Diceros bicornis minor: one gene and its partners. The protein of the gene in region 2 interacts with the protein of the main gene of each other region in a biochemical or structural test. Links are inferred from orthologs where the notes say so. Each region holds a gene or a part of one and is shown on either strand. Other genes may lie near its edges.

The links.
Region 1: of the proteins of MAPT (region 2) and GSK3B, one has a biochemical effect on the other in vitro, tested with the Homo sapiens proteins (21 studies listed by BioGRID and IntAct, with this or other methods). The link is inferred for Diceros bicornis minor from reciprocal best matches to the Homo sapiens genes MAPT and GSK3B.
Region 3: the proteins of MAPT (region 2) and SNCA form a complex in vitro, tested with the Homo sapiens proteins (3 studies listed by BioGRID and IntAct). The link is inferred for Diceros bicornis minor from reciprocal best matches to the Homo sapiens genes MAPT and SNCA.

What each region holds. Positions count from the first base shown.
Region 1 is NC_080754.1:21,500,207-21,503,951, forward strand, and holds the start of GSK3B (glycogen synthase kinase-3 beta), read right to left. Parts: upstream 2,599-3,745; 5' UTR 2,101-2,598; coding exon 2,013-2,100; intron 1-2,012. Other genes in the region: uncharacterized protein LOC131414749, read left to right, coding at 2,599-3,219. UniProt on the Homo sapiens protein: Constitutively active protein kinase that acts as a negative regulator in the hormonal control of glucose homeostasis, Wnt signaling and regulation of transcription factors and microtubules, by phosphorylating and inactivating glycogen synthase (GYS1 or GYS2), EIF2B, CTNNB1/beta-catenin, APC, AXIN1, DPYSL2/CRMP2, JUN, NFATC1/NFATC, MAPT/TAU and MACF1.
Region 2 is NC_080757.1:44,470,101-44,473,845, reverse strand, and holds the start of MAPT (microtubule-associated protein tau), read right to left. Parts: upstream 2,315-3,745; 5' UTR 2,221-2,314; intron 1-2,220. UniProt on the Homo sapiens protein: Promotes microtubule assembly and stability, and might be involved in the establishment and maintenance of neuronal polarity.
Region 3 is NC_080747.1:73,700,058-73,703,802, forward strand, and holds the start of SNCA (alpha-synuclein), read right to left. Parts: upstream 2,729-3,745; 5' UTR 2,670-2,728; intron 1,185-2,669; 5' UTR 1,155-1,184; coding exon 1,034-1,154; intron 1-1,033. UniProt on the Homo sapiens protein: Neuronal protein that plays several roles in synaptic activity such as regulation of synaptic vesicle trafficking and subsequent neurotransmitter release.

The DNA of each region.
Region 1 (3,745 bases), on a different chromosome or scaffold from region 2:
ACATAATTAGCGTCGAACTCCAACTTTTTAAATGTTAAGTTGACCTATATGTTAATAGAAAATCACACCTTTTAACCTACAGACTTTACAAAAGTTACTCCATCCTCAGTCAACATCCACACTACGGAGAATTAAGGAGTCATTTTCAAAGAAAATCATGGAAACAAAAAACTCAAAATTTTAACATTATAAGCTATTCTATTTGGCTCTCTGAAACAGATCTAACAAATTAATTACCTAAAATTGATTTCAAGTGGTTTTTAAACTATATTACCAAGGAGAAAAACATACAAACACTCCAGTGCCACAAGAGGCTCTTAAGTAGCTATTATAAGATTTGCTTCATCATAGCTGAAAATTACGCCTGAATTTTAAAATATTCCTTTTAAATGACCCCATGAAGTGCTTAGAAAGCTTGACCCTTCCCTGAAAGACGCATGGTCAGCTTTTCTCTTCACATACCCTGCATTCTGTACTAGCTAGTCACCAAAAAAAAAATTAACTTTCAAAAATAATCTCCCATTCAGCTATTACCTTAGATTACCCTGTTTCACGCAAGTTTCAAAAGCCAACATGAATTGAAATCCTGAGTTCAATTAAAAGTGATCATTTTATGTTGCCTAAGGTTATAATCAATTTCATATAACAGCATGTACATTTTTTTAATCTCAGTTCTTCAGTTCTCTTCTTCTCCTAGGCAACAAAATAGTATTCTTTGCCCTCATCATGCCCCTTTCTCAAGGAATAAGAAAACAATATATTTTTGTCAAATTCTGGAAGTATATTTAAATAAGCTGTCATTAAATATCACAGAAACATATCCACAAATAGAGAGAGATACATTAGAATATCGGATACTTAGTATACCAAACACCTCAAGAACACAGACTTTTCAGCACAAATCTGGGACAAGAGTACAGTCTAGCAACAACCCTGAACACAGCCCAAATATCCCTATTATATTCAGGACCACAGTGCTCTGCAAAATCTATGACGGAAAGGTCTAAAATCCATATTCTTATAACTAAGTCTATAGTTTTATCTAAATACGACAGGAAACCAACGCCAGAGAATTTTAAACAGTCCTAAAAAGGGACCCCTTTAGTCTAGATCATTTAACAAATACTGAATGCAATGACACCCCAAAATTGAACTTAAATGATGAGTCAGTGACAATTAACATTCAACTTGGAATGTGGCAACATGACAATAAAAACCTCAATCAAAACTCAGACTCAGTTCCAAGTTACCTTTTGATTAAACATAAATTATATACTAGTAGATCGGTAATGTCAAAGCAGAAAAGTTAAGAGAGAACATATTAAACCACTTATCCAATTTAATACAATGCATGTAGACATACTCCTGTTACTGGTATCTATCAGCTCCCACCCGCCCCTTCTAAGGGAGGAATCGATGCTCGCCCCCAGACGCCACTGCTGGTCACTGAGCAAGTTTATCTCTGGATAAAGAACAAACACTGCGTATAGTCACACAAGCAAGAGAGAAATGTTAGAAGCCTGTGACATTAAGGCTCTCTATTAAGTGTACAAAACTATGATAAGCCCAGAGATCTGAGCTAACTACAATATTCCTCATTCAAAGAGACACAGACTCTGCAAATGCACATAATGGTTTATGAATCAAGTCTTGTCCTTCTCTTTATTCCAAAGGATAAGCAAGTAAACACTCCCATCACTATTTTAACATGGAAATACTCAAGCACTTGATAAAGCTGACTACCACCAGCAAGAAAATTCTAAGAAGTGTTTCAAATCGAATCATCCAAATAAAAATCATATTCTCTGCACTCAAGGTTAATGAGACCGGGGGAGGTATGGGAGGAGAAAAGAGGGAGCTGCCTCATCCTTGACTGAAGACAGGTTTTTGCGCTTTTCCATTACCTCTGATGGTTATATCAGGAGATCTAGGATCTTAAGATCCTGGTATTTCAAGGTTTCTTATTTTAAAGGTGAGGTGAAGAAGGGGTATAAAATAAAATCAATACTCACTGCTAACTTTCATGCTGCCAAAAGCTGAAGGCTGCTGCACTGGCTTGCAGCTCTCCGCAAAGGAGGTGGTTCTGGGCCGCCCTGACATGATCACTCTCTTCCCGAATCACCTTTTCCTTCCTTCCTCCTTTGCTTCCTTTTGTTTTATGTTGGGGTATTAGGTTAATGATAAATGCAGCATTAAGTTCTCCCACAAGAAAAAGAAAAAGACTTCGTCCACTTGGCTTTTCACTCCTCTTGTACAGCTATAAAAAAAAACGAGCGATGTATTTCTCCTTCAAGACAGATCAGTATGGATATTGAACATATAGATGATTTGGGGCTGGGAAAAAAATACAATTCTTTCCCCTCCCTTTCCTTGTAGGGGAGAAAGGGGGGAGGAGGAATCCTAAAAAAAAAAAAAAAAAAATCACGTGCAACGGGGACAAATACTTGATTGAAAATAAGTACTTTGAATATTATATATTCCTCGGGATTTTTTTTCCGAGTCAATGAAGAAGGGAAGCGGCGGAAGGATCACGAGTCTCACGCTTGAAAAGAAGGGGGGATGGGAAGGAGGGAGGGAGAGGGAGGGGGTGGCTCGGAGATGCGACGGGAAGCGCTGCGGCTCCGGCAGCGGCGGGATCCGGCTGACTGGAGGGCGGCGGAGTCGCGAGGCAGTCAGAGGCGGGCGGTGGCGGCGGCTCCTCTCCTCATTGCGCCAGGAGCAGCTGCAGGCGGCGGCTGGATCCAGCGGCCATGGCGGCGGCGGTGGCGGAGGCAGCTCCCTTCAGATCCCAGGCAGCGGCTCCTCGACTGCTCCCCATACGCCGGGGACATGGGAACCCGGCAACCGCTTCCGTCCCTCGGGGCCCCCTCCCCCGTCCACGGCACCAGCGCGGCCGCCCTCCCGCCCCTCGCTTCTGCTCGGTGCCCGCTCAGGAAGCGTCCGCGCTTTGCCCCCAGCCCGGAGCCCTGTCAGCGGCTGCGGGGCCGGCTCCTCCTCGCTTCCTTCCTTCCTTTGTCACTCGGCCCGGGCGGCGGCGGCGGCAGCAGCAGCGGCAGCACAAGCCCGCATTCGCCCGGGTCGGGGGCTGCTCTGTGTGAGGAGCGCCGTCTGCGCAGCCGCCTAGCTCTTCCCCACTCCCCCTCCCCCCTCCTACTCGTCCGCCGCCTCCTTCCTCCCCCACCCAGCCTTACACCGCCCAGCGCCCCGCCGCCCGCGTAACAGGCGTCTAGGAATTGCCGGCCGAGCCCCGCGACCGCCCGCTTCGGCTGGGAAGCCGAAGACCGAGCGGAGCCAATCACGGACGTCGTTTCTTTGCGGCTCCTCCCGGAAAAAGCCGATGGACCTGAGGAACCAATTACAAAGTGTCGCTGGAAATCCACGCCCAAAAAGCGGAAAGTGCCGAAGATAGCCGAACGAGAAGGTGGGTTCGCCTTGTTCTGTGGCTGGGTAGAAGAGAAATTCGACAATGGCAACAGTGGCCAATCAGAGTCGCCGGCCCTCAGGAAAAAGCTTGAAGAGTTAAAGGACGGTGAAACCCTGCGTTGCTGGTGAAACGGCACCGCTGGGCGCCGCGGCCGCTTTGTAATTGGCTGAAAACTCCGCTGGGAGTGTTCCTCCCTCGCTGATTGGTGAAGAGAAGGGGGCTTCCGAGGACAGCCTGGCCAGTCAGAACGTCTCCTCCCTCGTCGAGGTGGGGAGAAGAAAAAAGCGAAAGGAGGGCGTCTATAAAGCGCCTTCTGATTGG
Region 2 (3,745 bases):
CAGTTTTCAGCGATAGAATTAACCAGAAAGCCGCACGGACCGGCTCATCGCAGGAGGGCGATGCTCGGACTTGTTGGTCAGGGGTCGGTACCCGAACCCCCCGCACTGCCCCCTCCCCACCGGTTTCAAGGGCGTTGGTGAACTCGGGCCCTTTAGTGAAAATTCCGCACGTTTCTAAAATAATATTCGGCCACAATAATAAAAATACACGAGGAACGCCTATCCGGGTGGCTGCGGCCGCCGAAAGGCAATTAGGAAGACCAACAGACTCAGGGTTGGGGGGGGTCTCCCTCCAGGAGGCCGAGGGCGCGCTGCCCCCCCTTCCCCAGGACTCTCAATCTCTGCCGGGAAGGGGCGGGGCAACGCCCTTAGCTCCGTTCTCCCGACGCGTGTGGTTTCTATGGCAACCTCATCTCCGCGCCCCCCTCCCAGTCCGCTCGGGAAAAATGGGTGTGGCCTGCAGCACCGGACGAAACCTCGGGCCCCCTCCTCACATTCTCCTGACTGGCGAAGCAACAGCGCGTGAAGCGGAGAGGGGCGCGAGCTACCCCCCGACCTCCCAGGGGTCGCCGGTGACCCTTGGTCCGCAGGCTGGTGGGGCGTGGCCCCCAGGAAGCTCTGGGTGTGGGGAGGGGCGTCGTCCATCTGCGGCCATCCGTACAGCGCGCGCAGACCTCGAATCCCACCCCATCGGCCTCGCGGACGCTTCCCGGCTCGCGGCCTGGCTCCGGGAGGGGGCCGCGCAGGGTCACGCCCGTTCCATGCGTGCCCCCGGGGCTGTGACTCGAGTTCCTCGACCCCAGCAAGCCCCGAGATCTAACAAAGGGCTCGGAAATGAGGGGCGAAAACCGGGGGCCTTGGTTAAACACCCTCATAGAAGAAAAGCCAAAAAACCAAGGCTGGCAACGCGGATCATGTAAGCCCGACAAACAAAGCAGCGAGACCCCCAGGAAGATCCTGGGTGAACGCCCCTGGGGCTCAAGCCCGCAGCAGCAAAAACGCCAAGATTTCAGCGCTGATTGCCCCCCCCCCTTTAATGACAGTCCCCGCCCTGTCCTCCGAAGCCCAGCCACCCGGCTTGGCATGGTATCGTAAAGAGGTGACACGCCGCGAAAAGATGGCACCTCGCGTTCAGAGAGGAAAAAAGCGGGGGTGGGAGTGGGAGGAGGCACAGCCCACCCTCCCCCTTCTCGCCCACCCGGGTCCACACCCACTGCCGCAGTGAGGGGCGAGCCCTGCGCGCCAGCCCCGCGCCTCCGGCAGGGAGCGCTCACGCTGGACGCCGGGCGCAGGGCGCAGAGCGCAGAGAAAGGCGCCCGCCCCGAAATGCACCTGCAGCCCCCGCGCCGGTCTGTGCGGGGCTGTGGCTGTCAGCACCCGCGAGCCGGGATCGGCCTCTGCCGAGTCCTTCCACATCGCCAGGCCAGGTGACCCCTGCCTTTCCGAGCCTCCACATTGGGATCCGCGCACTACCTTCTCTCGAGCACGGCGCTGCTCGAATCTCGGTGCCAGGCGCGCGCAGGGGGAAGGGCAACTAAAGTGACAGCGCCCGGACCCCTCCCCATCTCACGGCTTCCAGTCCCAGCCCCCAAATGTCCCCTGCGGGTTTCTGAAGGAGGAAAACGCAGAGGGCGTGGGCCACTGCCTTAAATCAGGGGCAGCGAAAGCCCGGTTGGAATTGCTGCCGGGGAGGTGTAGGGAGGGGCAGGCAGGGAATCATCTTTTCTAGAACCCAATCCATACCTTCCTTAGGGCTGACGGCAAACCGAGACAGAGAAATCGGATAACAGGTTCGGCTTCTGGGGTCGTCATTGGAGCCCCCCCACACACACACACATAGACACACGCCCATTGCGGCAAAAGGCGGCGACCGAGAGTGCATGGAAGCCCCTTCTCCCAGGTCACCGCCATCCGCGCCCCGCCCTGCGGGCACAGCCTGTGCCCGGGTCCGCGCGAAGCGGGTCCTGTGGACCCCCCCCCCAGCGCGCACACACACACACACACACACTCACACGCGTGCGTGCATCCCTTGCATGGGTCCCTTTCCAAACAGCCCAAGTCCCAACCCTGGAGCGCAGAGGGCGCAGGGAGGGGCCTCCGCCGTTGCCCCCGACCAATGCCCACCTCATGAAACCCATCTCTGCGGCGGGGCGCCAGGGGCGGCGGCATGGGGGTGCAGCGGGGCGGACAGGGAGGCAGATTTCGGAGCCTCGCGCTTACCTGATAGTCGACAGAGGGCGACGACAGTAGAGGAAAGCAGAGGAGAAAGTGGCTGTGGTGGCGGCGGCAGAAGGTGGGCGGCGGCGGCGGCGGCGCTGCTGCTGGTGCCGGAGCTGGTGGGTGGCGGAGACTGCGAGCGCGCGCACCAGCGAGAGGGCGCGCTCCCGAGACCGGCGGGCCGCGCAGGCGCGAGCAACGGGAGCGCGAGCCTCCCCAGGGGAGGGGCGGGCAGCGAGGCCTCCGCGGGCGTCTTCTCCTCCGGCCACCAGTGGGCGCGCGCGAGCAACCCACCGCTCGGCCCTCCCCTGCCTCCTACCTCGGTCCTCTTGGCGCTTCCCTTCCCCGGTCTCCCCTCCCCTCACTCCTCAGGCCGGGCGCTGACCGCCACGCGCACGCGCGAGCCGTGGCGCAGGCGCACTCTACGTCTCCTCCCGCTGCTGGAGCCTTTGTTTTGTCTGAGGGGTGTCTTCTCTCGGCAGGGTGGCTTGGTTGCTTCTGGGGGCGGGAGGAGGCTGGGTTTTCCGCTCCCAGATCTGCTACCCTTTTCATTCCCGTCGTGCCGGGATGATGTCCTATCACGGAAAGGTCCCGAGCGGGTTTCGCCATGGCTGGCTCCCCAGTCTGTCCACCTGGACTCAAGGCCAGTCCCAGGCTGGCCCTCCTTATCGCTGGCCGGGCACCCTGACTCTCCCGAGTCCCCAAATGTTCCCCCTTGTTGGAGATCAAGTTTCCCTGGGTCTGCTTCCTTTCAACTTGCTTTCCTTCTAGCTTTTTTGTTATTGACCAAGGAGAATCCTTTCCTTAGCTAATCCACTTAAAACACTCAGTTGTTAATACAGTAGTGCAGTTTTTTAACAAAGAGCATTCGAATCTATTTATCTAACTGTGACCCTAGAGTAAAATCTTAAATTAGACCAAGATTTAAATGGCGCTTATTACATTGTAAAGCATTTTCACATAAACAGTTATTTTTACCTCGTTTGTTGAAACACTGTTATACTGGAAGTAGAGCCTGACATCTGAATTTCTAAGTGCCTGGGGGAGGGGGGGGAGATTCTCACCTGGCTAACACACCTCTGACAAACTGACCAGAGGCCTTCATTCTCTCAGTCGCCCAATACGATATGGGAGCTTGTATTGAAGTTTTTTTTTTTTTTAATTTTTTGTTTATTGCAGTAACATTGGTTTATAACATTGTAAAAATTTCAGGTGTACATCATTGTACTTCTATTTCTGCATAGATTACATCATGTTCACCACCCAAATACTAATTACAAGCCATCACCACACACATGTACCGAATTATCCCTTTCACCCTCCTCCCTCCCCCCTTCCCCTCTGGTAACCACCAATCCAATCTCGGTCCCTATGTGTTTGTTTATTGTTGTTATTATCTACTACTTAATGAAGGAAATCATACGGTATTTGACCTTCTCCCTCTGACTTATTTCACTTTGCATTATACCCTCAGTGTCCATCTATGTTGTCACAAATGGCTGGATTTCATCGTTTCTTATGGCTGAGT
Region 3 (3,745 bases), on a different chromosome or scaffold from region 2:
TCATTCCAAGTATACCCTTTCTCCTGCCCATCTACGGTGGAGAGAGAGTGTAGCTTCCTTTCACCCCACAGACGTGGGCATAGCACCCTATGGCACGCAACGTGCCCCTCCTGCACCTTCCTGCTCATCCGGTGGCTGCTGCTGCTACAGCTGCCACCAGAGACCCTGGCAGAGCTCAGAGGAGCAGGAAGAAATAGGAGAGGCAGAATAGGCAGTGGGTGAGTGTGTGTGAGTGTATCCTTGTGGAGAGCGTGTGTATATCTGTTTGTCTATTTCTTCGCTAAAGAATTTGAAGTGGTTTGTAAAATAACATCCAACCTAACCTAACACAGTTCAAGATAAAGAAAAGATAGTCAGGGTCTGCATGAATACCCCCACGTGGGAATTTAGGAACAAGTAGAAAGGACAAGCATCAATCTCATTATTTATTGTGTGTGTCATTTAATAAAGGAGCTATATAAATGTCTCCGAGATATTAGTAGCAGCCTTCAAGCACTTTCTTGAGCTCTTAGACCCCAGCGTACCAAGTGGTCATAAGAAGTAACTCCACCAAAGACTCTTCTGTTCTTTCCTTTATAGGGTCACAGTAGGTCTCTTTTTACATATCCCAGGGCCATACCAAAGTTTAAAATAAGAATACACTAAAATTATCAAATATTATTCATGAGGACAAAAAAAACAAAGGCTCATGCACGATTTTGATTAAGAATAGTCTTGATTATTTTTAAAAGATTGAGTTCTAAAAAGTGTCCTTTGAAATATAGTCACTTAGCACAGAAACATTTATTAAAAAAACAAAGTCCTAAGTATTACTGCAAAATTAATCTGGAAAAACAAAAGATTAGCCCCACTTTTTACTATTAGCTCAAATATACACATTCACCTACCCACACATACCTCTGACTCAGTCCATCTTTTTGACAAGTGATAATACAAAAGTGAATCAAGGGAGAAATACCAGCATTTAGAGTATCAATCATCCTAACCCATCAGCCATAAATAAACATGAAAATGACATTTGGGGCTTACCTACCTACATAGAGAACTCCCTCTTTGGTCTTTCCTGCTGCCTCTGCCACACCCTGTTTGGTTTTTTCAGCAGCAGCCACAACTCCTTCCTTGGCCTTTGAAAGTCCCTTCTTGATTACATCCATGGCTAATGAATTCCTTTACACCACACCACACTGGAGAATACAAAATACACTTTGAACGAGAATTCTTGCGTAAAACAAAACGAAATTAGAAGTACCCAAGGTGAAACCCACGGAAAGATCAGTAGAACAAAAGTTCGAGACTCTTTTAAGTGCACCCTTACTTCAGCCATTGGACAAAGAAGCCTTTTTTAGCTTTTGCATTAAAAATTTAGCATCCCCCATCCATCTTGGCTGGTAAAAGTCTAGTCCCCTAAACACGGATTAGAATGAATCACCGGAGCTGTTCTAATTTTGCATTTCCTGAGTGAGTTGCATGAAAAGATGGACCCCCTCTTTCAACTTGCCAGGGTCCAAATGGTGACATTACAAGTTAGAAGTACGTTTAAAAGACACATCACAGGAAAAGAAAGGGAGCTGGAGGCATGGGGTCAGGGGCACTCTTAAAACGAATCCCAGAAAAGGGCTAACAGGTTGATCATGGAGAAGGGAGGGAAGAGAACTACTCACTCTGGGTGTGGCTGCACTTCAGGCCAACTGCAGCCCACCCGCCCTCGCTCTAATCCACCCGACCATCCATCCCCGCCCGCAGCTATCTGCTCTGAGCAGGCGCTAGTTCACACCCGCCGGCCGTCTCCAGACGCGCGCCAGCCGCCCGAGGGGGCGTTCTCAGCGCACGTGAACCCGCTACCCACCCGAACCTGCACCTGTTAACCCCTTACCACCTGTTGACTTGCCCTCTCTGCACTTCCATTTAATTATCTGCTAAACACAGCTTGTTTACTTTACAAAGAGAACCGAGAGGGCGGACTGGGATTTCAAGTAAGAGAGAAATAAAAGTTGGACGCTCTCGTTCCACCTAGCATCCTCGCGTTTCCCAAAGGAAAAGCGTATCCGGGAGAAGCCTGACCTCTCAGCCTCTGAGGACGAGAAGAGTGAAATACCGGAACAGGAGGAAAGCCAGGGCAACTTACTTTCCTCAAGCTCACCAAAGGGATAAGAACCCACCTCCGAGACTTGACACAGCGGGTCCTCACTGCAGCCCCCTCCCCCCCACCCCACCCCCGCCCCCAGGCGTCCACAATGACTCCTCTCCCACCAGGTTTTCTCCAGGATTTCCAAAGCTGCCAGTTTAGATCCACAGGTACTTACCTGAGTCGCTCCGCTCCTCAGAACTCCGATTCCCCACCCCACCCCCTCTTTAAAAACAAATTTAAACAATTTCCAAATATTATTTAAATGGGAAGAGGGAGGATAAGGAGCGGACGGGAAGGGCGGAGGCGGTACCAGGAGAGGGATTGTCCCCAGAGGAGGCTGCTGTCAGCACAACCCGGCAAAGAGAGGCTGGGGGCGTGGGAGGCGAACCCGCGAACTGTCGTCGAATTGCCACTCCTCGTCCCCCGCACGGGAGGATCCGAGAGAAAGAGACAGAGGGTCGGAGGGGAAGGCGGGGAGAGAGCGCGAAGGATGCTAAGGGCAAGGCTCGGTCCCCGGGTCTGCTCTAAAACCAGCACACACCTCACCCCGCGTCGCCGCGCTCGGTCGCTCGCCCCCTCTCGGGTCCCCTTCCCGTCGTCGTGGTCCTCCTCCTCCCCTTCCTCCTCCTCCCGCTCCTCCGCTCGCCGCCCCCGCAGCTGATTTGTCAGCGCCTCTCCCCGCCCCTCGCCCGGCGCTCGCTGCTTTCCCTGCCGCGTGCACTTCACTCCTCTTCTCGGATGGGGAGGGGGGCGGGGAGAAGGCTGTACCTCCAACTCCAGCCGCCCGCCTGGGCCTGGGAGGCGGGAAATGGGGTGTCTTGCGCTTCACTGCAAGTTCAGGGTCACGGGGACTCTTGCGGGGATCGGGAGCGGTTAGGCTTGGGCTGATGGCTCTCTCTTTCCCATCCCCCGTCCTTCCCTGTCTCCGCCTTTCCCTCTGGTTCCTCACGAGGACCCCCACGTCAGAGCCAACCTGGGGGAGTGGGGGCCTGAGGGATGGACCGCCAAAGATAGAGCCAATCTCTCGGGGAGCTGCTGAAGAAGGCAGGCAGCTCAGGAAGGATGCTCACATCGGCATCGCCAAGAGCACGTTTCCCTCGGATCGCTGAAATTTGATTAATGGTCGTAGGAGACAACGTTAAAGGTGCTTTTGTTTAAATATCTGCCAGATTTTCGTTTGCTCTTAACCTCTCATGATCCCGACGGGGTCCCGCGGGTGGGGAGGAGAGTAGCAAGGATGAGTTACAGGTTGAGAAGGCAGGAGGAGGCTCGTCAAATCCTCTTCCCACCCCACTATCACCATTTTCTTTTCCACCAATCAGCGGCTGCCAGACGCCGATTTTTCCCATCAGCGGAACGAGGAATAAATATTCCCCAGCCGTCGAAACCAAGCAGCTATATACAGCTTTTCCTTCTCGAAACGGAATTTACTTTTCAGATTCAAGTGCCTGGATGGAGGAGACAAATCCAGCGTGGTTTATTTTCCCGAACCGTCATATCCAATTCTTTCTTCCATCCCTTTTGAAAGGGAGATTCTACACACCGCTCACCTTTCTGACTTCTGATTCACGTTGCCCTCGGAGCTGACACCTAACCCCATCCCACACACAGACATAC